Linked DNA regions of Stegostoma tigrinum. The protein of the gene in region 2 interacts with the protein of the main gene of each other region in a pairwise test. Links are inferred from orthologs where the notes say so. Each region holds a gene or a part of one and is shown on either strand. Other genes may lie near its edges.

What was found. The genes of interacting proteins can lie anywhere in the genome.
Region 1: the proteins of klhl40b (region 2) and uncharacterized protein C7orf31 interact in a two-hybrid assay, tested with the Homo sapiens proteins (2 studies listed by BioGRID and IntAct). The two-hybrid records come from large-scale screens. The link is inferred for Stegostoma tigrinum from reciprocal best matches to the Homo sapiens genes KLHL40 and SPMIP4.

Annotation. Positions count from the first base shown.
Region 1 is NC_081355.1:55,322,721-55,333,667, reverse strand, and holds the start of uncharacterized protein C7orf31, read left to right. Parts: upstream 1-5,400; 5' UTR 5,401-5,779; coding exon 5,780-5,922; intron 5,923-10,947. UniProt on the Homo sapiens protein: Microtubule inner protein (MIP) part of the dynein-decorated doublet microtubules (DMTs) in flagellum axoneme. May serve to reinforce and thus stabilize the microtubule structure in the sperm flagella.
Region 2 is NC_081355.1:150,691,457-150,702,263, forward strand, and holds the start of klhl40b (kelch-like protein 40b), read left to right. Parts: upstream 1-6,165; 5' UTR 6,166-6,270; coding exon 6,271-7,407; intron 7,408-8,674; coding exon 8,675-8,835; intron 8,836-10,807. UniProt on the Homo sapiens protein: Substrate-specific adapter of a BCR (BTB-CUL3-RBX1) E3 ubiquitin ligase complex that acts as a key regulator of skeletal muscle development.

The DNA of each region.
Region 1 (10,947 bases), about 95 Mb from region 2:
AACTCTTACAGTACTGGCCTTACCTCTGAGTCAGAAAACCCGAGTTCAAGCGCTCCAGAGCCTATTATAACATGTATGACAGGCTGATTAGAAAATAAAAACAGAAATAGCTGGAGAAACTCACTAGTCAAGCTGCATCTGTGGACAGAAAGAAGTGTCAATGTTCCGGGTCCAGGGGCACTTCTACAGATGCTGGAGAACTACTGAGTTTCTCCAGCTATTTCTGTTTTTGTTTCAGATTTGCAGCATCTACAGTTGTATTTTTTTGATTAGAAAATACCTACATTAAAATATAAAATGGTATATGCATTTCCCAGATTACAATATGACTATGACATCAACAACACTTTCAACGTAATTGGTTGGGTTACTGTAATCACAGTCAAAGCATATGCACTCAATATAACCAGAATAATTTATACATAAAAGAATTATTTTCCTTAACACTTGTATTTGTTTTATGAAACAAATAATTTCACACGAAATAATGAAAATAACTTTTCTTTCTTTCCAATACACATTTCAGCTAACCTATTTGGCTCATTTCTCTTTTTGTCTGGGTTTCTTCTTCCATTTATTTTTCAAAATCAGTGCCCATTGACACCATGAAGTATCGTCTGTGTTTTTTAGCCTTGATGTCACAGTTCTGACATCAATCTAGAACTTTGTTCAACCTTACAATGTGCTCTTTCTTCGTCTCCCTAAGAGTTAGAGTTTCATCTAAAAAGTAGCCCACTCCTTTCATCCCACATAGCGCCCAATCCATGATGTTCCAGAACAGGGTCAGAACATAACATATGCCATAAGGCAACATTTCAAATGTGGTACGATATTTGATGTATATGATTGGTAAGCAGTTCCTTGCTCTTGTCAGTTAACTTTAATTGCAAGTATGTATAAAACATTTCTATCCTACTGAACGCCTTTCTATTTGCTAAACCTTAAAACACGACTTTACTGGTAAGCAATGGGTATCATTCTCAGTCATTTTAATGACCATTTCACAAATCTGAAATGACCTAACTGATTTTTGAACAACCAAAATGGTATTGCCCACTCATTGTTCTTTGTTAGTTAACTGCTCCTGTTTCAATTGTTCCAGATTGTTCCAATCTATCAGCTGTTTGCTTACTATTTTTAACTGTGAATAAGGCATTAGCCTAGCCTTACAAATTATTGATTGTACGTGTTTTTTTTTATCTTGACCTTTCCTTTGTGAAGTCTAATTTTATAACTGATCCTTCTTGCTTAAAGACGACTTTATGAACTCAGCACCTTTTCAATGTCAGAGGTACTCATCCTGATCTGTAAACAGTACAGCCCAGTTTAACCATATGTTAAGCCACTTTTTTTAGTGTCAGGGAGACCTTGATCCCTGCAACTACTAATAACAAGTAATAGGGTGCAGCATGATATTCCACCATAACTGACTGACTTAATACTGGAATAAATAATTCGCTTCACATTAGTTTTTGTTTTGCATAAGGGAATATGAATTAAGGATTTCTTCAACTCATTCTGAGATAACAGAAGCTGCTATGGCTGTATAACTAAAGTCATACCAGTTATACTGCTGACTTCCACTTCTACTATAGATGCTGGAATGATGTCTTCAGCCCAACCAGTACATTCATTTTCAATGCACTGTTTCTCTTGCTATACGAGTACATTCTTGAGCTTCCTGCTCAATAACATCAACTTTAGTTTCAGCCTGCAATTAAGTGCATATACATTCAGGCACCTGAACAACTTTCAATCTACTGCCACCATGATCTGCTCCTTGGCTGCTGCAACCCAGTGCTGAATTATAACCTAGAATATTACGATATCCTCTACTCCTGCATGCCATCTAGAGGTACAGTCACATCACACTACAAGAAATGGGGACATTTAGACAGGCAGTCAACATAGATTTAAGAAAGAGAGACTATGTTTGACAAATTTGCTTGTTATTTGATACTTAAGAAGCAGAGTTGATAAAGGGGAATCAGCAGATGGAGTGTATTTGGATTTTTATAACTTATGCAATAGGGCGCCACATAAAAGGTATGAGCTCACAGTATTGGAGGTAATGTATTAGTGTGGATTGAGGGTTGATAAGTATAGAGAACAAAAAGAGTTGACGTGATGGGTCATTTTCAGGTTGGAAAGATGTAACTCATCATGTGCCACAAGGATCAGTCCTCGGGCTTCAATTACCGCTTTAACTTTCCATAGCTATATACCATCTGAACACCCTGTAAATCAGTGCTACCCTGTCATCAATATCCACTGTATACCTGCAGCTTGTAAACATCCAATACGGGAACATTACACACTGGAAGAAATCAGAAAAATCCAAGGTCAAACTTTTATTTGCAGAAGCAAATGTGAATATAGACAGACCACATGAAGATTAAAATTTGTCCAAACAATACCAAGCAGACTTCTACATCATAACCAATTAATATTTTACATTTCACAAATATTCTGCTCACATCCATTGGAAGTAGATGTCAATGAGCCTCTGGTTGGTTTGTAGCACCTGACACAGCTGAGTTTTGTCATGGTCAAGGACATCTTCCTTTTCCCCAACATTGTTCTGTTCTTTCTCAGGAGACTTCCTCCATTTTCCAAGTTCCTCAGCATCCAGCACAGTGTGAGGTTATGCATTTTGGCAGGAAGAGTACAGAAGCTGAATATTATTTAAATGGAGAAAGACTGCAGAAAGCTACAGCACAGAAGGAATTAGGAATCTTCGCATAAATCTCAAACACCGAGCATCCAAGTTCAGCAGGTAACAGGGAAGGTAAGTGGAATATTTGCCTTTACTTCAAAGGGAATGAAATCTAAAATTGGAAAGTCTTGCTAAAACTGTACAAGGCCCTGATCAGAACACAGATGAATTATTATGAACATTTTTTGTTTTATTTATTCATTCCTGAGATATGGGTGTTGTTGTCAGGGACAGCATTTAATACCCAACCCCAATTGTTAAGAGTTAACCACATTGCAATGGACCTGGAGTCATAGACCAGGTAAGGACCAGTAAAACCCATCTGGTTCACTAATGTCCTTCTTCCCTGAAGGACATTAGTGAACCAGATGGGTTTTTCAAACAATTAACAATGGATTTGTGGTCATCATTAGGCTCTTAATTCTAGATTTTTTTTCACTGAATTCAAATTCTACCATCTGCAGGATTCAAACATGTGTACCCAGGGCATTACCAGAGTTTCTGGATTAATAGCCTGATGATAATACCACTAGGCCATCACCTCCCCGTGTTTAGGCCCTGTATAAGGGGAGGCAGTCCAAAGACGGCTCACTAGGCCAATCCCACGTATAAAGGGAATGTCCTATAAGAAGACGTTGAATAGGTTGGGCCTGTAGTCATTCTAATTTAGAAGAATGAAAGGTGACCTCTTTGAAACATACAAGGTTCTTAGGTGCCTTGACAGGTAAATGTGGAAAGGTTGTTTCCCCTTATGGAAGAGTGCAAGACCAGAGGACATAATCTCAGAACAAGTCACCTTTTTAAGACAGACACAAGGAGGAATTTCTTCTCTCAGAAGTAGTGAATTTGTGGAATTCTTTACCACAGACCCCTGTTGAGGCTGTGTCATTGAGTATATTCAAGGCTGAGGTAGGCAAATTTTTAATCAGTAAGGGTAACAAGGGTAATGGGGAAATAGCAGGACAGTAGAAATTAGGATAATCAGTTCATCCTTGATGTCATTGGAATGGCATGCTTCTGATTCTACATCTTAAATTTGTGGTAAAAGAACCAACACAGCTGATATTTGGTCATGAACATCACATTGGGCGACAAGCCAGCCTGTTTCAAGTTACTCTGTTCAAAATGGCATTATAACTAGAAATATAGGCTACAGTGGTTTATGTCTCAACTGGTTGCTTCTTTTAATCATTGTATTATTATACCTTTATTTTGACTTTCACTAATTTTTCCTATAAAGCAATTTTCTGTCTGTAACCCTCCCTGGTTTTTCGTGGTGTTCCTTCATTGGGAGACAGTCTGGAATGTATCAGTATGCAGTGGTGTTTTTGCAAATTCACAATATATGCATTCTATGTTTTTCACTCATTCCTAGGATGAAAGTGTGTTCTTAGCTTTTGAAGCTGCTGTCTTAAGTCATCGATCTGTGAGGCTGAGGCGATGCGCAATTCCAATAACATCATGTCGACATTCACTCGCATATCAGGAGTTGAGGACAGATCCCTTGAGCTATGCATTCTGTTAAGGAAATTTTACTGTTTTTAAATGGGTTTTTTCATAGATTTTAATTCTAATTCCCCACTCTGTCATCCTCAAAACTGCTCACTCAATTCCTATCACTGGTCACCCGTTATTGGTCTCCTCTCATTGCTTCAATTGCTCCCCCACCTTGAGACTGTCAATCCTCCTTCTGTAGCCCTGATGCTGCTCAAGCTACTCGTGACATTGCTTAATCCCCTCCAGTAGTGAAGGAGTGTCGAGACACGTAAGCAGTGCAGGGCAGGGATGAATGTAGGAGGGGTCTCGTGTCCTTTGATACTCCTAATTTAAACAGCTGCATTCCAAGCCAGCTTTCAAATGCTAACAAATCCTTTCATGAAACTAGAAAGTACAGGCAAAAGTTTCAGGTCCTGGAGAACTGTCTACAAGTTCTCCTATGGAAACTTTCCCCCAAGACAGAAGTTTGGGGTTCTAGTGCAAATCTGCAACACTCAATAGCAGCAAACCTTTTAGCATTCACTATCATTGGGAGATATGGGCCCTAAAAGGATTTAGACAGCTTGAGACAGTTAATGCTATCAGGCTGCTTCCCTTGTTTAGTGTCAGGAAATAGGGATCAGAGATTCAGAACACAGGTGTGACCAGCAGAAGATTAGAAATTTCTTCTCTGAGAGTGTTGTGAATCTGTAATTCTCTAAACGCAAAGGGCTGTGCCTGTCATAAGTATGGTCAACACCGTGACTGATAGACTCTGGATACTAAGAGAATCAAAGGATTTGGAGATTTGGTAGGAAAACTGAATCAATCCTAAAAACTTAACCATGGCCTTAATGGATGATAAGGAGTAGGGACGATTTGGAACTACTCTGCTCCTATTTCTGCACCAAAGCTCTTTACCTCACACTCATCCACGTGAAGATCCAGTTGACATGCTTCGTCCTGGTTCTTGAAACCTTTCAAATCCCTTCGCAATCCGTTTGGTCAATAATCGACCTAAACTTCTAACCGGTCAAGAGGCATCTCGTGGAAAGATGTACAAGGCAGGAAATGAGGTCCATTAAGAAAATTAAGTTGCAAGCGGAAAGCATTATGTGTTTTTGTTTTAAGAGGTCTGATATCACAAGATGGCTCCCAAACAGCGAGAGTCCGTAAACAGCGCGGAGCGTTGCTCTGAAAACAAAAGGCGGGCCGAACGCCTTCCCTCGCTGTCGGAAGTTGTGACTGGACTGAGCTCTTTGGGAAGGCAGGCTGGGGCGGGAACCACTGAAGGGTTGATGCTAAACCTTCCCCAGGTAGCAGCCGCTGCCAGAAGATGCGGCTCCTCCTCCTGCCGCCGCTGCTGATTATTGAGGCTGTGAATCAGACTCATTGTCATGGATTTGCCGTCATACCCCCGCATTGGCCAATACTATCAAACCTGGATGTGTCCTGTCCCCTTGATACAGGGAACCAGAGGCCGCGTCGTTTCCTCATTTGCCTCGGCCCTGCTCCATTGCACCTTTTAATTTATAGAAGACTTATTCTCCTCCCCCCACCCACTCTATTCCCCCCCCGATTTAAGCCATGGAGGTCGATCAACTGTCCGCTGGCGATCCTTTCTATTACTATCGCCAAACGGAAGGGCACAACATCCTGCGCCCGACCTTCCAGTCCAATATGCAGATAACTCCCACGCAGTTCGACCGCCCCACTGTATCTGCTGGCAGGTGAGAGAAATGGGTCTGTATAGTGGACGCTTTAAATCAGAGGGTGAAGTGGGGGGCACAAAACTCGTGCATTGAAACGGACTTTCCCTCAACCTAATCGTTAATTTCGTAATGCTTATGTCTAGAAATGACAGCTGTATAAATAAAAATCTGCGTTTGTGTAGTACCTTCCTCACAAGAGGAACACGTGCTAGGGCGCTTCAAAGTTCGGACTGTGAGAGTAAACCCTATTCTGGACGGGCAGAGAATGACCCCAATGCTTGATGGAAAAGGTGTGTTTTTAAAAGTGCAACAGAGATGGAGAGGAACAAAAAGGTTTGGAATGTATGTCATAGGTAAATGAAAGATGCCCCGCTGAAAGGAGAAGAGTCAGAGGTCTAGGGGTAATTGTTACAGACAGGACAGAGAAAAAAATTCAACTATTTTATTGCCCTGCCCACCTGCAGAAAGCAGAATCATAGAATCATATAGCATGGAAACAGACCAGTCAGTCCGACTCATCCATGCCAACCAGATATCCCACATAAATCTAGTCCAACTTGCCAGTACTTGATCCATATCCCTCTAAGCCCTTTCTATTTATGTATTCATCCAGATGCCTTTTAAATGTTTCTGAAGTTTTTGAGTAGATTTGTATCTCAGGTTGTGGATGTTGTGGTTGGTTGGCTCCCCAAGCTGGTTCTTTGTTCCCCAGATGTTTCATTACCCTGCTGGGTAACATTTATCAGTCTCCAATGCAGCACTGATAATGGGAACTGCAGATGCTGGAGAATCCAAGATAACAAAGTGTGAAGCTGGATGAACACAGCAAGCCAAGCAGCATCTCAGGAGCACATGAGATGCTGCTTGGCCTGCTGTGTTCATCCAGCTTCACACTTTGTTATCCAATGCAGCACTGTTGTGTTTTCCCGCCTGTTCTTTAAACTCTGGAGTCCATTGAGCTGGGTTACCTCACTGCCGGTTTTCCTTCGCAGTAGAGTTAGAAGGTCTAGTTCTATGTGTTTGTTGATGGCCGCCTTAGTGGAGAACCAGGCCTCTAAGATTCCTGTGCTTGTCTCTGCTTGGCCTGTCCCAGGATCCTGGTGTTTAAATGTTGTAATCATACCAGCCTCCACCACTTCCTCTGGCAGCTCATTCCATACACATACCACCCTCAGAATGAAAAAGCAGCCCTTAGGTCCCTTTCATATCTTTGCCCTCTCACCTTAAACGCATGCGCTCTAGTTTTGGGCTCCCCCACCCTGTGGAAAAGACCTTGCCTACTTACCCTATCCATGACCCTTTATAAACCTGGAAATCATAAGTGACTTTTACATTCAGGCAAGGAGTTACCAGAGATAATGGGAACTGCAGATGCTGGAGAATCTGAGTATAAGGTTACGCTTCAGCCTCAATGCTCTAAGGAAAGTAACCCGGTAGTTACTTTTTTTTCTCTATTTTATAACAGGCTATGAAAAGCTTCCCCAAATCTTTATTTTGTGAAGTGCAATTTCTATAATGATTCACCACACATTCTCTTTAGGGTAAAGCAAGCATATAGTTTAATTTTATATTCAAAACCACGGAAGATGATTATCACAACACATAAAAGCTTCAAGGGAAAAAAAAATTAAGAATAACTTAAGAAAAGGACACCTGGCTATTAAGTTTAGTAGTTGTCCATTCAGAAAGTTAGGGTATAGTGAAGGTTATTTTCTGTAGGAGCTCAAATTCCAGCAGGTTTAGTTTGCCAAGGCAGGATTTGTAGAATCATTCTTAACATTGTTGAAGGCTCAGCAATATGAGGTTGGCATGTAGAGTCTTGGTTAAATTTTCAGTCAAATACGAGATTTCCTTCAGAACTAGGTTTCGAGAAAGACTACCTGGTTCCTTTTGTACTCTGTTTCCATTGAAACCAAGGCCACCATTCCAGGTGCCTGCAAAAATAGCTGCTGAAGTTGTGTATTAGTTTTTTCTGTGATTTATGCACAAGAATTCCCAAATCTTTTGGTGCTGTAGCTTTCTGCAGTGTTTCTTCATCAAAATAATATTCAGCTCTTCCATGCTTCCTGCCAAAATACATGACCTGATATTTTCCCACATTAAATTCCATCTGCCAAAGTTTTTCCCACTTACTTAATCCTCTGTAGACTCTTGCTGTGTCATCCTTCCCCCTTGCCTTCCCACCTCTTAATATATAATGTAATTCATAATGGCCCAGCTTTGATCACTGTGGCAGTCCATTAGTTGTAGGTTGCCATTTGAAAATGCTGCCTGCTTCCCCCCACCACATCCCAATTATTTATTTGATGTAAGGAAACCAAGTTATAGTCACTTGCGGTCCTGAGTATTTTGTAGATGAGAATCTGCTTTTTTTAAATGCAAGCCTTTGGGAGGGCCAGTCAAGAACGAACATGACATTGTGTGGGAAGGTGGCGTTTTTACATAGATTGTATAGAATGTACTGCACAGAAACAGGCCTCCTGTCTCAGCCTGTCCATGTTTGTATTAATCCTCCATTGAAGGCTTGTTCTGACTTCCTCCTCAAACTCTTTCAGCATAACCTCTACTTTTTTTTTCACCAGGCTTCTTTAGCATCCATGCCATTCATTTTAATCACTCCTTGTTATAGAAAGGAGTACGGTAAAGAGGTTTCTTCCAAATCCCCTCGTTGATTTGCATTGCTAACTACCTTACATTGGTGATTTGTTGTTTTGCTCTTCCATGAATGTAGAAACGGTGGACTGGATTTCACATGGAACAGTTGACTCTATTTACCAGCTGGGAGCCTTGTGAACTTTATATTCAGGCAAGGCGTTACCAGAGATAATGGGAACTGCAGATGCTGGAGAATCCGAGTATAATAAAGTGTGAAGCTGGATGAACACAGTAGGCCAAGCATCATCTCATGTGCTTTTGAGATGCTGCTTGGCCTACTGTGTTCGTCCAGCTTCACACTTTATTATCAAGGAGTTACCAGAGGTTGTCTCTTCAGTTCTCCTGACTAAGAATGTTGCACATGCAGCAGCTGCTAACCAATCAGAGAGCTGGCTTGTCTTAGGTCTCCGCAGGACCAATGGGAGCAGTTGTACTCCTGGGACTGCAGTAGTTCCCAGGCCAGTGACAAGTAAAGATAAGTGGGGTCAGGGATCATTGAAGATAATTAGGCAAAGCTTGCAAGTGGGGAGCGGGTGTGATGATAGGCCTTGGGGAGAGTGTAGATCATGGAGACAGAGGGAGCATTCCTAGGGTGGTGGTGGTTGCTGCAAGGTTGGAGAGTGGGTCCACAGGAGGAACCACACCACAAAACTGTCTTAGAGGCTGCCATGTAAAACACCAACGGTGACAGGAAGAGACACTGCAGTGGCAACAGAACAGCCTGAATTGGTCAAAGATGATGAGCATTTACCATTCCACCATATTTTCCACTTCCCCATCCCCGCCTCCCAACCACAGGATGGAGCAATGTGAGTGAAGTTTCAACAATTTTCTATGTTTTGGATTTTGAGGTTCAAAGGGCCATGATATTGGCTTTAGAAAAACCCAATCCAGTTGAGTGATTTTCAGATATGTAGTTTGACTGCTTATTCATTCAGTTTGTATTTTGGAATTTCTCCTGTGCATGCTTGCCTACACAATAGCTTGTAAGAAGTAATTGATTTGATGTTAAAAACTTTGCAAATGGCCTGGTGACATAATGAGGCAATATGTATAAGCAGGCTTGTTCTTTCTTCCAATTCCCAAAACACACCCTTTATTTAAAATCTGACATTTGCATCTTTAAATATCGATTCTTGGCTGTAAATCAGCTCCAAAGCCAATTTGCTGAACCAACTGAAGATTAGAACACCGTGGAGCTCCACTTAGGTTTCAGATTAAAAACCAGGAAAAAATAATGAAGTGTTAAGCAAAACAGACACTCTCAACCGTAACATAACAGGTTTATCATATAATCTGGGAATTTGGATATAATTTATTCCACCAGCTCAAGAGTTAAAGTTTTTAGTTATGTTATTTACATACACAACAATTAGCATAAAAATTTAAATACCTATATTGCAAAGTGGTAATTGGGAAAGAAGGTTATGTAGAATATATATTGTGATCAGAGATAATGGGAACTGCAGATGCTGGAGAATCCAAGATAACAAAGTGTGGAGCTGGATGAACACAGTAGGCCAAGCAGCATCTCAGGAGCACAAAAGCTGATGTTTCGGGCCTAGACCCTTCATCAGAGAGGAGGATGGGGAGAGGGTTCTGAAATAAATAGGGAGAGAGGGGGAGGCGGACCAAAGATGGATAGAGGAGGAGATAGGGTGAGAGGAGAGTATAGGTGGGGAGGGGATAGGTCAGTCCAGGGAGGACGGACTGGTCACGGAGGCGGGATGAGGTCAGTAGGTGGGAAATGGAGGTGCGGCGTGAGGTGGGAGGAGGTGGTAGGTGAGAGGAAGAACAGGTTAGGGAGGCGAGGACGAGCTGGCCTGGTTTTGGGATGCAGTGGGGGAAGTGGAGATTTTGAAGCTTGTGAAGTCCACATTGATACCATTGGGCTGTAGAGTTCCCAAGCGGAATATGAGTTCCTGTTCCTGCGACCTCCGGGTGGCATCATTATGGCACTGCAGGAGGCCCATGATGGACATGTCGTCTAAGGAATGGGAGGGGGAGTTAAAATGGTTCGCAACTGGGAGGTGTAGTTGTTTATTGCGAATCGAGCGGAGGTGTTCTGCAAAGCAGTCCCCAAGCCTCCGCTTGGTTTCCCCAATGTAGAGGAAGCCACAACTGGTACAGTGGATACAGTATACCACATTGGCACATGTGCAGGTGAACATCTGCTTAATAGGAAAGTCATCTTGGGGCCTGGGATGTGGGTGAGAGAGGAGGTGTGGGGGCTAGTGTAGCACTTCCTGCGGTTGCAGGGGAAGGTGCTGGGTGTGGTTGGGTTGGAGGAGAGTGTGGAGGGGACAAGGGACTCATGGAGAGAGTGGTATCTCCGGAAGACAGACAAGGGTGGGGTTGGAAAAATGTCTTGGGTGGTGGGGTCGGATT
Region 2 (10,807 bases):
ATTGGTACAGGCTTTGCCGAAGAGAATGTGTCAGTTAATGATGACTGACAGCTAACTGCCAAGAGATAATGGGAACTGCAGATGCTGGAGAATCTGAGATAACAAAGTGTGGAGCTGGATGAACACAGCAGGCCAAGCAGCATCTTAGGAGCAGGAAAGCTGACGTTTCAGGCCTAGACCCTTCATCAGAAAAGGTAACTGCTGCCAAGCTTTGTTTAAATTTTAAAGCAAATAGATTGACTTTGATTGATCAAGGCATTGTCCTGAGAAATAAACCAAAGAATAGCAGTCATCTATGTTGACGAATTCAAACCGGCACAGCCTATGTACACACTGATTCTATCTGCAAAGAGGATACAATTATTAACAAACGGGGCCCTGAAAACTCCAGACACTGGTTCAATATGATACATCTTTCATAAACCCAAGTTGACTCTGCTTGATATCTTCATTTTTTCCCCCCAGTGTCCTGCTGTACCATCTGTAATAATAGCTTCTAACATAATCCGTCTGATAAATACTAAACCGACTGGCCTGCAGATCCCCACCTGTGACCATTCAAAATGAAATTTAAGAACCCTGTGAGAGATTTCATCTCCCACGTGCTGAGGTGAAGTGAAAGGCCTCAGAGGGGATAGACAAACCTCCAAATGACCCATCCTGGGATTGTATTCATTACAGTTTAGAAGGTTGAGGGTAGATCTATTGGAAACATACAAGATAATGTATGGCTTAGAAAGGGTGGACGCTGGGAGGTTGTTTCCATTAGGTGGGGAGACTAGGACCCATGGGCACAGCCTTAGAATTAGAGGGGGTAAATTTAGAATGGAAATGAGGAGACATTTCTTCAGCCAGAGAGTGGTGGGCCTGTGGAATGCAGTGGAGGCCGGGATGTTAAATGTCTTCAAGGCAGAGATTGATAAATTCTTGATCTTGCAAGGAATTAAGGGCTACGGGAAGAATGCGTGTAAATGGAGCTGAAATGCCCATCAGCCGTGATTAAACAGTGGAGTGGACTTGATGGGCCGAATGGCCTTACTTCCACTCCTATGTCTTATGGGCTTATTTATCCAACTCTTCCAGCATGATCTGCTCCATACGTAGTAGAGCCTGCCAAAAATGCATTGGATTGCAGAACCCACCAAACAGGAGTGGGAGCAAGTTGTCCTCAATCCTCACTACAGTCACTTCCTGGTGTAACAAAGCGTAGAGCTGGACCCTTTGGGTGTAGGCCCAAAACGTCAGCCTTCCTATTCCTCTGATGCTGGTTGGCCTGCTGTGTTCATCCAGCTCTAAACTTTGTTATCTCAGATTCTCCAGCATCTGCAGTTCCTACTATCTCTGAAACACCTGCTGGTATGTTGGGTTGAGATCCTGCTTTAACCTCTGACCATCCGTGTGCATACATACACAGATATGGGAATATCTATCCATCTGGAATGGCACTGTGGAGGTGGAATAGGCTGGAGTAAACACAGAACGCTGGAGAAACTCAGCAGCCTCTGTGGAGAGAAACACAGAGTTGATGGAGGAAGAGTAAGTCATACCGGATTTGAAATGTTAACTCTGTTTCTCTACCTACAGATGCTGCCAGACGTGCTGAGTTTCTCCAATTTCTGAGTTTGTTTCAGAAATCCAGCAGAGGCAGTTTTTTGCCCTTTAATTTAGGCTTTTGCTTTTACTTGAGTGCAATATGCTGGATATGGTTTCGGAGGGATACAACCTGAGACACCACCATCTTTGTAGCATTATCATTAAGGTTCCGAATACCAAAGGAGGAAGCTTGGGTGTGACAGTAAATGTCATCAACACAAATGGATTGTGGGTGTTGGTAGGTCATTTATATCCACATTGAACAGTGTTGAGGCTAGGGCTGAGTCTTGTGGTTGTCTAATTGACAGTTTTCTTCAGTGCCCAAGGTGATCTCTAATGCAGCTATTGTGAAGGAATGTCTTCAAACTGTTCCAAACTAGTTTGGAAGCACTCTGAGCAGTTTTAGGAGCAGCACACTATCATACTTGGGAGTGACTCTCAATAGGACTTTGTCTTTCCTGGAACATTCAAGAAAACAGCAAAGATCAGAACCAGAAATCAACCTGTTCGTCACACTGGCCCTGATCTTCATTGGCTCCTGCTGCCACAACATTCTGGAACTCAGCACTTGTCCTACCATGCTCTGCAACAGTGTATTCTGTGCCTGTCTGGCAATACACACAAATTTTGTAGACGGTCAACTGAATGCAACAATGTTCATCATAAATGGAACCCTCTCCAAAACTCCGCTCCTCTGTCCTCTCAAACATCATTCTCCCACAGACTGATCATTGCATTTGGACAATGATTATTGTGCCCTAAAGGTTTAAGATGTGAATGGAGAATGACAATGAACAATCTACAGCAAGAATAATCAACTGGCAGAGAGTAGCCTCCAATGGGGTATGAGCAAAGCTGGGCCAAAAGACAGGAACCAAATGTTGTGGGGGAGAAACAGTCACAGAACAATGGGGCTCCTGTCAAACAGATGATGCAGGTGCAGTCAAGGTATATTCCCTCAAAAAGGAAAGGCAGAGCAAATTCAGATGTCTCTAGATGATGAAGGAGATATTAAAGAAGGAAAATAAATGTTCTTAGGACAGGCGTCAGGTTCTAAATCATAGAATCCTTACAATGCGAAAGCATACATCCCTTTCGGTCCACACTGATCCTCTGAAGAGCATCCCACTTAGACCCATTCCCCCCAACCTTATTCCCCGTAATCCTGCAATTCCCCCAAGTAATTCACCTAACCTACGTATCCCTGCGCAATTTAGTATGGTCAATCCACTTAACCTGCACATCCGGACTCTGGGAGAAGACTGGAACACCCAGAGGAAACCCACACAGACACGGGTAGAATGTGCAAACTCCACACAGACAGTCGCCTGAGGGTGGAATCGAACTTGGGTCTCTGCCGTTGTGAGGCTGCAGTGCTAATCACTGAGCCAGTATGCCACCCTAAATTCGAGCTGAAGGTCCAGAAGGGAGGTGAGGGAGTAATAAGTAATAATAAAAGAAACAAAGAAGGGTTACAAAAAGATCTTTCACATAAAGGGAAATCCTAACGTCTACTTTTGGAAGATCAATAGTAAAAGGAGGAGTGAGGTTGATTAGGGGTCATAAAGGATTTACACAAAGAGGCAAGTGATATGACAGAGGTCTTAAATTAATACTTTTGTCTTTGCCAAGGAGGCAGAAGCTGCCCAGTCCATGGTGACAGAGGAGAAAACTCAGCCACTAAAAGGATTCAAATTTGATAAGGAGGCTATCTTGGACAGTTCCTGAAGTAGACAAGACACTTGGAGCAGATTGGAATCAGCTAAGGATATTCAAGGAGGTACTGGCCATGTTCTTTTCATCCTGTCTGGTCCTGAGAGTGGTGCCAGAGGGCGGAAGAATCGCAAATGTAATGGGCTTTGCTCAAAAAGGTTTGTAAAGGTAAGGCCTGTGATTACAGTCCCATCAGTTTAAGGGAAATTTCTGGCTACTTGAGCTAGAATTAATGGTCATATGGAAAAATATGGGATAACTTGGAAATCCAGCATGGCTTTGTTGAAGTAAAGTCATTTTTAACTACCTTACTGCAGATTTTTTGATAACAGGGTTGGGTGGGGATGGGCGGGTTGTTGAGGATAATGCCGTTGATGTGACGTACATCGACTTTCAGAAGGTATTTGGCACAATGCCACGACAGACTTGAGAAAAATTACAACTCATTGAATAAAAGGCTCTGGAGCAATGTGGATACAAATTGGATGAGGTATAGGAAACAGAATGGAATGATTAATTGGAAGTTTTGTAGCGAGCTCCCTCGGATTTGGTATTCGAATGCATGTTTTTCCTGCATAGGTATACAACTGACATGTAACTTGGTAGGCATTTTTAAGTTTGCAGATGATACAAAAACTGGGAGCATTGAAAACTGGAGGATAGTGCAGAACTTCAAAAAGATATACTCAAGTTGATTTGATTTGACATGTTATTGTCACATGTACCTAGGTACAGTGAAATGTTTTGTTTTGCATGCACAATAGGCATATCATACCATTCAAAATACATTAGGGTAATAGAACAAAGTGAAGAATAGTGATACAGAGGCAGAGAGGTCCATTCAGAAGAACAGCGGAGAAAAAGCTGTTCTTGAATCTGTTCATACCCTTATACAAACCTTTATATCTTCTGCCCTGCAGAAGAGGGCAGAAACGAGTATAACCAGGGTGGGAGGGGTCTTTAACGATGTTGGTTGCTTTCCTGAGGCAGTCGATGAAGTCAGGCAGTGGTGAGTACAGATGAAGTCAATACATGGAAGGCTGGTTTGTGTGATGCACCAGGCTGTGTCCACGACACTCTATACTTTCTTGCGGTCTTGGTTTGGCAACAGCTCTTCCCATGCTGTAATGCGTCCAGCTAGAATGCTTTCTATGGTGTATCTGTAAAAACTGTAAGAGTCCTTAACCTCCTGAGGAAGTAGAGGCATTTTTGTGCATTATTGACAAGTTGGTGGAGTCGGGAGATAGGTGGCAGATGAAATTCGATTTGGAGAATTGAGAGATCACATTTGCAGGAAGGACAGAGAGATTCAGTATAACAGACAGGTGTGACCCTAAATGGGGTATAGGAACACCTGGGTGTATATGTGCATAAGTCATTAAAGGTGGCAGAACAGGGAGACAGAGCTATTAATAAAGGACACAGTATTCTAAGCTTCATTAACAGGCGTATAGAGGACAAGGATCTATTTAGGATACTGAATAGACCTCAGCTGGAGTAACTATGTACAGTTTGGGTGTCCCATTTAAGGAGGGATGTGAATGGAGTGGAGAAAGCACAGAAAAGATTTATAAGAATGGTTCCAGGAATGATACACTTCAGTTTTGAGGACAGATTTGAGACATTGTGACTGTTTTTCTTGGAGAGGAGAAGGTTCAGAGAAAATCTGTTTTAAAAAGAAGCTTTCACAATCATGGGATCATTGAATCATAGAATCCCTTTGCTACATGACCCAAGATCTTTAGACAGAGTAGATAAAGATCAAATGTCCCCAATTCTCAGATGATTGAGACCTAAAGGGAACAAATTTTAAAAGAAGGAGAATGTGAGTGTGAATAAAACTTGTTCATAAAAGTGAGTGGCCTGGGTTTTGAACACTGCCTGGGATGTGTCAGGGAGGCAGGTTCAACTGAGGGATTTGAAAGGGCGTAAGAGATTATGGGTGTACATGGAATAGTGTAGGTTAGATGGGCTTGAAAACGGTATGACAAGTCGGCACAACATCGAGGGCCGAAGGGCCTGTACTGTGCTGTAACGTTCTATGTTCTATTACTTGGATTGAATTGAATTAGCTTTATTGTCACATGTACTCAAAACAACTACAGAGAAAAGTTACATGTCACCACTTGCGGTGGCATCTTACGTACAAAGGTACCTAGGTACAATCACTGGTTACAGAATAGAGAAATGAAGAAAAAATAAAGTTACATTACAGCTATACACAGTATGACTCTAGGTCAGATAAACAAGAAGCAAGGTTAAAAAGACAAACATATCAGTCTCTCTCCAAAGTCTCTCCTTAGCAGATCAAAGCAGGGGGCCTCCAGACAGTCTGACTACTGACAGCTGCCACGTGCCACTCTGGGCCACCACTGCCACACTCAGAACTGGGTTGCTGGTTGCTGGCAGCCCTGCTCCAGCCCCTGGTGTCTCTGCTTACCCTGCTTTAGAGGCTGGGCCCAGGTATCGAAGTCTGAGAGAGGGGAGGGGATGGAAAAAAAAGGAAGAGAACAGTCGGAGCAGAGAAGCTCTGACCCGAGTGTCCTACACTGCCACTATCATAGTGGGTAACAGAAACAATACGCAGGGCTATGGGTGAAAAGGGCAGGAGTGCGGAACAAAGTGAAAACCCCTTACGTATTTGGTGGAGGGGCACAAAATAATGCTGGGGGTGAGGGTGAAGAGAGAGACAAAGAACAATCCTTGATCGTGAGGTACGATCTAAGACTGGAGGATGATTCATGCCTTTTGGACAAGAGTGTTGTGGCCAGTTGTCAAGTGTCTGACTTGACATGTGGCTCTGCTGAGGATGGCTTTATCTCCAAATTCCCCCCCCCCCCCCCCCCCCCCCTCAGTGCATTCCCGAGCTCTGTGCTATCTATAAACCCGGGAGGAATGTGGAGGGGGGAACAGCTGGGGGCCAGCCATCAATGCTGACACACACACACAGGGAAAGGCAGAGCCATGGCGATCCCCGTCGACCCAACAGAGGAGCCTCGCATTTACCAGCAGACTCTGCTGCAGGAGGGGCTGAGGGACCTGCTGGAGAACGGTAAGCTGGTGGACTGCGTGCTCAAGGTGAAGGGCCGGGAGCTGCCGTGTCACGGCCTGGTGCTGGCGGCCTGCAGCCCGTACTTCCGAGCGAGGCTGCTGGCGGAGGCGGGCCCGGGACAAGGCCCGAGGAGGGAGCTGGTGCTGGACGACGAGGAGCTGGAGCCTGATCTGGTCGAGGCCTTGCTGCGTTACCTGTACAGCTCCGAGCTGCCCCTCAGCGACGCCAACGTCAAGGAGGTGCTGGCGGCCGCCAGCCTGCTGCAGATCCCGTCCGTCTTCACCGTCTGCGTGTCGTTCCTGCACCAGCGCCTGGGCCTCAGTAACTGCCTGGCCGTCTTCAGGCTCGGCCTGATGCTCGACTGCCCGCGCCTGGCCGTCGCCGCCCGGGACCTGGCGTGCGAGCACTTCCCGCTGGTGAGCAAGGACCCCGACTTCCTGGGCCTCAGCGCCGCCGAGCTGACCGCCATCATCTCCAGCGACTCGCTCAACGTCGAGCGGGAGGAGCTGGTCTTCGAGGCGGTGATGGCCTGGGCCTCCAGCCAGGCCGCTCCCGCCCAGGCCCTGGCCCAGCTCCTGGGCTGCGTCCGCTTCCTCCTCATGCCCCGCGACTACCTGGAGCGGCAGGTCCGGGCCTACCCCCTGCTCAGCTCCAGCCCCGAGCTCCTCCAGAAGATCCAGCAGGTCAGGGATGCCCACAGGAGGGAGGAGGGCGGGGAGCAAGAGAAGGAGGCCAAGAAGACCCCCGCCAAGGAGGAGCAGGCCCCCTCCCCTGGCAACCAAGAGGCCAAGGAGGAGCAGCCCCCCAGCCTCCTGAATAAAACCCCCAGGTTCGGCATGTTCGTCAAGGACCTCATCTTCATGATCAACGACGAGGCCACGGTGGCCTACGATCCCACCACCAATGAGTGCTACTTCGCCTCGGTCTCCTCGAAGGTCCCCAAGAACCACTCCAGCGTGGTGACCAAGCAGAACCAGGTCTTTGTAGCAGGAGGTCTCTACTACGACGACAGCAGTAAGGAGAACCCATTGCACTCCTACTTCCTGCAGGTGAGTTACAGCCCTCCAGCCCCTCTGTCCAATGTAGAGGCATGGGGCAGGGTGGGGAGGCAGTCTTTGGAACATCTATATTTACAATGGAAATTCCAAACTCACCACCACCTCCATCTAGGCAGCAGAAACATGGAACACCACTGGCTGTAAGTTCCCCCCCAATGCCTCACCATCCTGACTTTACTGTCACTGGGTCAAAATCCTGCAGCTTCCTACATTATAGTACTGTGGATGTACCCAAAGCACACGGACTGCATCAACTCAAGCCTGCACACCAAAGTAGATGATGTAAGATATTGGCCCACTTCTGCCCCATTCATTGTGATCATGGCTGATCTGATCATCCTTAACTCCGTTTTCCTGTCTTTTCCCCATAACCCTGGATTCCCTCACTGATTAGAAATCTCTCAGCCTTGGATGCACTTAGTGACCTAGCCTCCACATCCCACTGCCATAAAGAATGCCACTGATTCACTACCCTCAGATAAGCAATTCCTCCTCATCTCTGTCTTAAATCTGTAACCCTGTATTCTGACATTATACCCTCTGGTCTTAGACTCTTCCCAGATGGGGAAAATATGTAATTAGGAAAGGATGGTTGGCAACTGAAATGCTATATAGCTATCTATACAAAGAAAAACAAACAAATCTTATCAAGAGGAGTAAGGGTTACGGGCAGAAAGCAGGAGAATGGGGTTGAGGAACTTATAAGCCATGATTGAATGGCAGAGTAGACTCAATGGGCCAAATGGCCTAATTTCTGCACCTATGTCTCATAGTCTTAAATGAATTGTAAATTGGAGAACAAGAGTTGTGGTATTTCCCTGAGACATAAGGAGGCAGGATGAGAGAACTGAAAGACAAAGAAAATATGAGGAACCATTGGGACAGGAGAGAGGTTGAAGGGTTTGGGGGAGGACGTGTATGCTTTTAGCTCAGGGGCACAATGTAACTGGGAAGCCACTGTGTTAATCTGTGAATGAGGAGTTTCTGGGGGCTATTGATGAATATACTGTAACAATATTGTTGCTGCACTTTTTACCATTCTCTGGGATAGCAGTTGCCACATTCTCTATACTCTATGTGTACAGATGGTTCTCCTGAAGTGCTTGCCTACTCTGGGCTGAAAGGTTTGATCAGAAAAGACTGATTGCATTTCAGTGCTAACTTAGTGGATGGAAGTTATTTTAAATGCTGGTGCCTTGTGCTGTGTGACTTCATGTTTGCTGTTTCTTTCTAATATTTTGTCTTGACCTGCGAACAGTTTGATCCCCTGGACTCTGACTGGCTAGGGATGCCAGCCTTACCCTCTCCACGCTGCCTCTTTGGTCTGGGCGAAGCTGATAATGCCGTCTATGTCATTGGTGGGAAGGAAGTGAATGAAGAGGAGAAGACACTGGACACTGTGATGTGCTATGATCGACAGTAGGTTTCCATGAACAGGGCATAAATCAAGGTAATGGACTCTCGGTCAGATGGAACATCCTGAGCATTTGGCTACAGCACAGTCATTGTGACTGAAATAACTGGCACAGTTCCCTTGAGGGCTCAACTTGTGAAATTGATACTGTGAGTCAGGCCAAGCTTTCTGTCACGCTTGTGACAGCAGTAGTTCAGTGGGGTCAGGAGAAGAGGGAGTTGGTTGGGGTGGAAGGAAATGATGTGAGTGCAATGAAACATGGGATTACAACAGTGAGGTGATGGTTTTTGCCCAGTGCAGACTCTACGTGTCTTTTTCTTTGCTGTAGACCTCTCTGACTCTATGGCAGTTTGCAGTCTCTTCATTAGTTGCTGGGATGAACAGAGTCTGGTTGGTCCAGTGTGGGAGAGAAAAGCCACTTAATGATACGGAGCAGGGTCCTCTGTCTCTGCCCCTCATACGTACACTTACACCATTACCTCACACCAGTCTCCAGTCTTTCCTCCATATCTCCACACACCATTCCTTTCCATAAAACCATCCATTCCCCCTCGTTCTCACACACCACCCTACCAACCTCCGGATACAACGCATTATCCTCCGACACTTCCGCCATTTACAATCCGACCCCACCACCCAAGACATTTTTCCATCCCCTCCCCTGTCTGCTTTCCGGAGAGACCACTCTCTCCGCGACTCCCTTGTTCGCTCCACACTGCCCTCCAACCCCACCACACCCGGCACCTTCCCCTGCAACCGCAAGAAATGCTACACTTGTCCCCACACCTCCTCCCTCACCCCCATCCCAGGCCCCAAGATGACATTCCACATCAAGCAGAGGTTCACCTGCACATCTGCCAATGTGGTATACTGCATCCACTGTACCTGGTGCGGCTTCCTCTACATTGGGGAAACCAAGCGGAGGCTTGGGGACCGCTTTGCAGAACACCTCCGCTCAGTTCGCAAAAAACAACTGCACCTCCCAGTCGCAAACCATTTCCACTCCCCCTCCCATTCTCTTGATGACATGTCCATCATGGGCCTCCTGCACTGCCACAATGATGCCACCTGAAGGTTGCAGGAACAGCAACTCATATTCCGCCTGGGAACCCTGCAGCCATATGGTATCAATGTGGACTTCACCAGTTTCAAAATCTCCCCTTCCCCTACTGCATCCCTCAACCAGCCCAGTTCGTCCCCTCCCCCCACTGCACCACACAACCAGCCCAGCTCTTCCCCCCCACCCACTGTATCCCAAAACCAGTCCAACCTGTCTCTGCCTCCCTAACCGGTTCTTCCTCTCACCCATCCCTTCCTCCCACCCCAAGCCGCACCCCCCGTTACCTACTAACCTCATCCCACCTCCTTGACCTGTCCGTCTTCCCTGGACTGACCTATCCCCTCCCTACCTCCCCACCTACACTCTCTCCACCTATCTTCTTTACTCTCCATCTTCGGTCCGCCTCCCCCTCTCTCCCTATTTATTCCAGTTCCCTCCCCGCATCCCCCTCTCTGATGAAGGGTCTAGGCCCGAAACGTCAGCTTTTGTGCTCCTGAGATGCTGCTTGGCCTGCTGTGTTCATCCAGCCTCACATTTTATTATCTTGGAATCTCCAGCATCTGCAGTTCCCATTATCTCTCATTCCCCTCTTGAATGCCTCCATTGAACCTGCTTCCACACATTTTCAGGCAGTGCATTCTACACCCGAACTGCTCACTAAGTGAAAACATTTCTCCTGTTCCTTTGTCACTTTAAACCTATGCCCTCTCGTTCTTTTCCTTTTACGAGCAGGAGCAGCTGCTCCCTATCGCCTCTGTCCAACCTGCCCATGATTTTGAAAGCCTTGATCAAACCTTCTTTCAATGTTCCTCATGCAGAGAACAGTCCCAAACTCTTTAATCTACCCTCATCATTAACTAGCTGAAAGAAGCTGGAGTAACGAATAATAATTTATTGCATGTTAGTGACTAGTCACA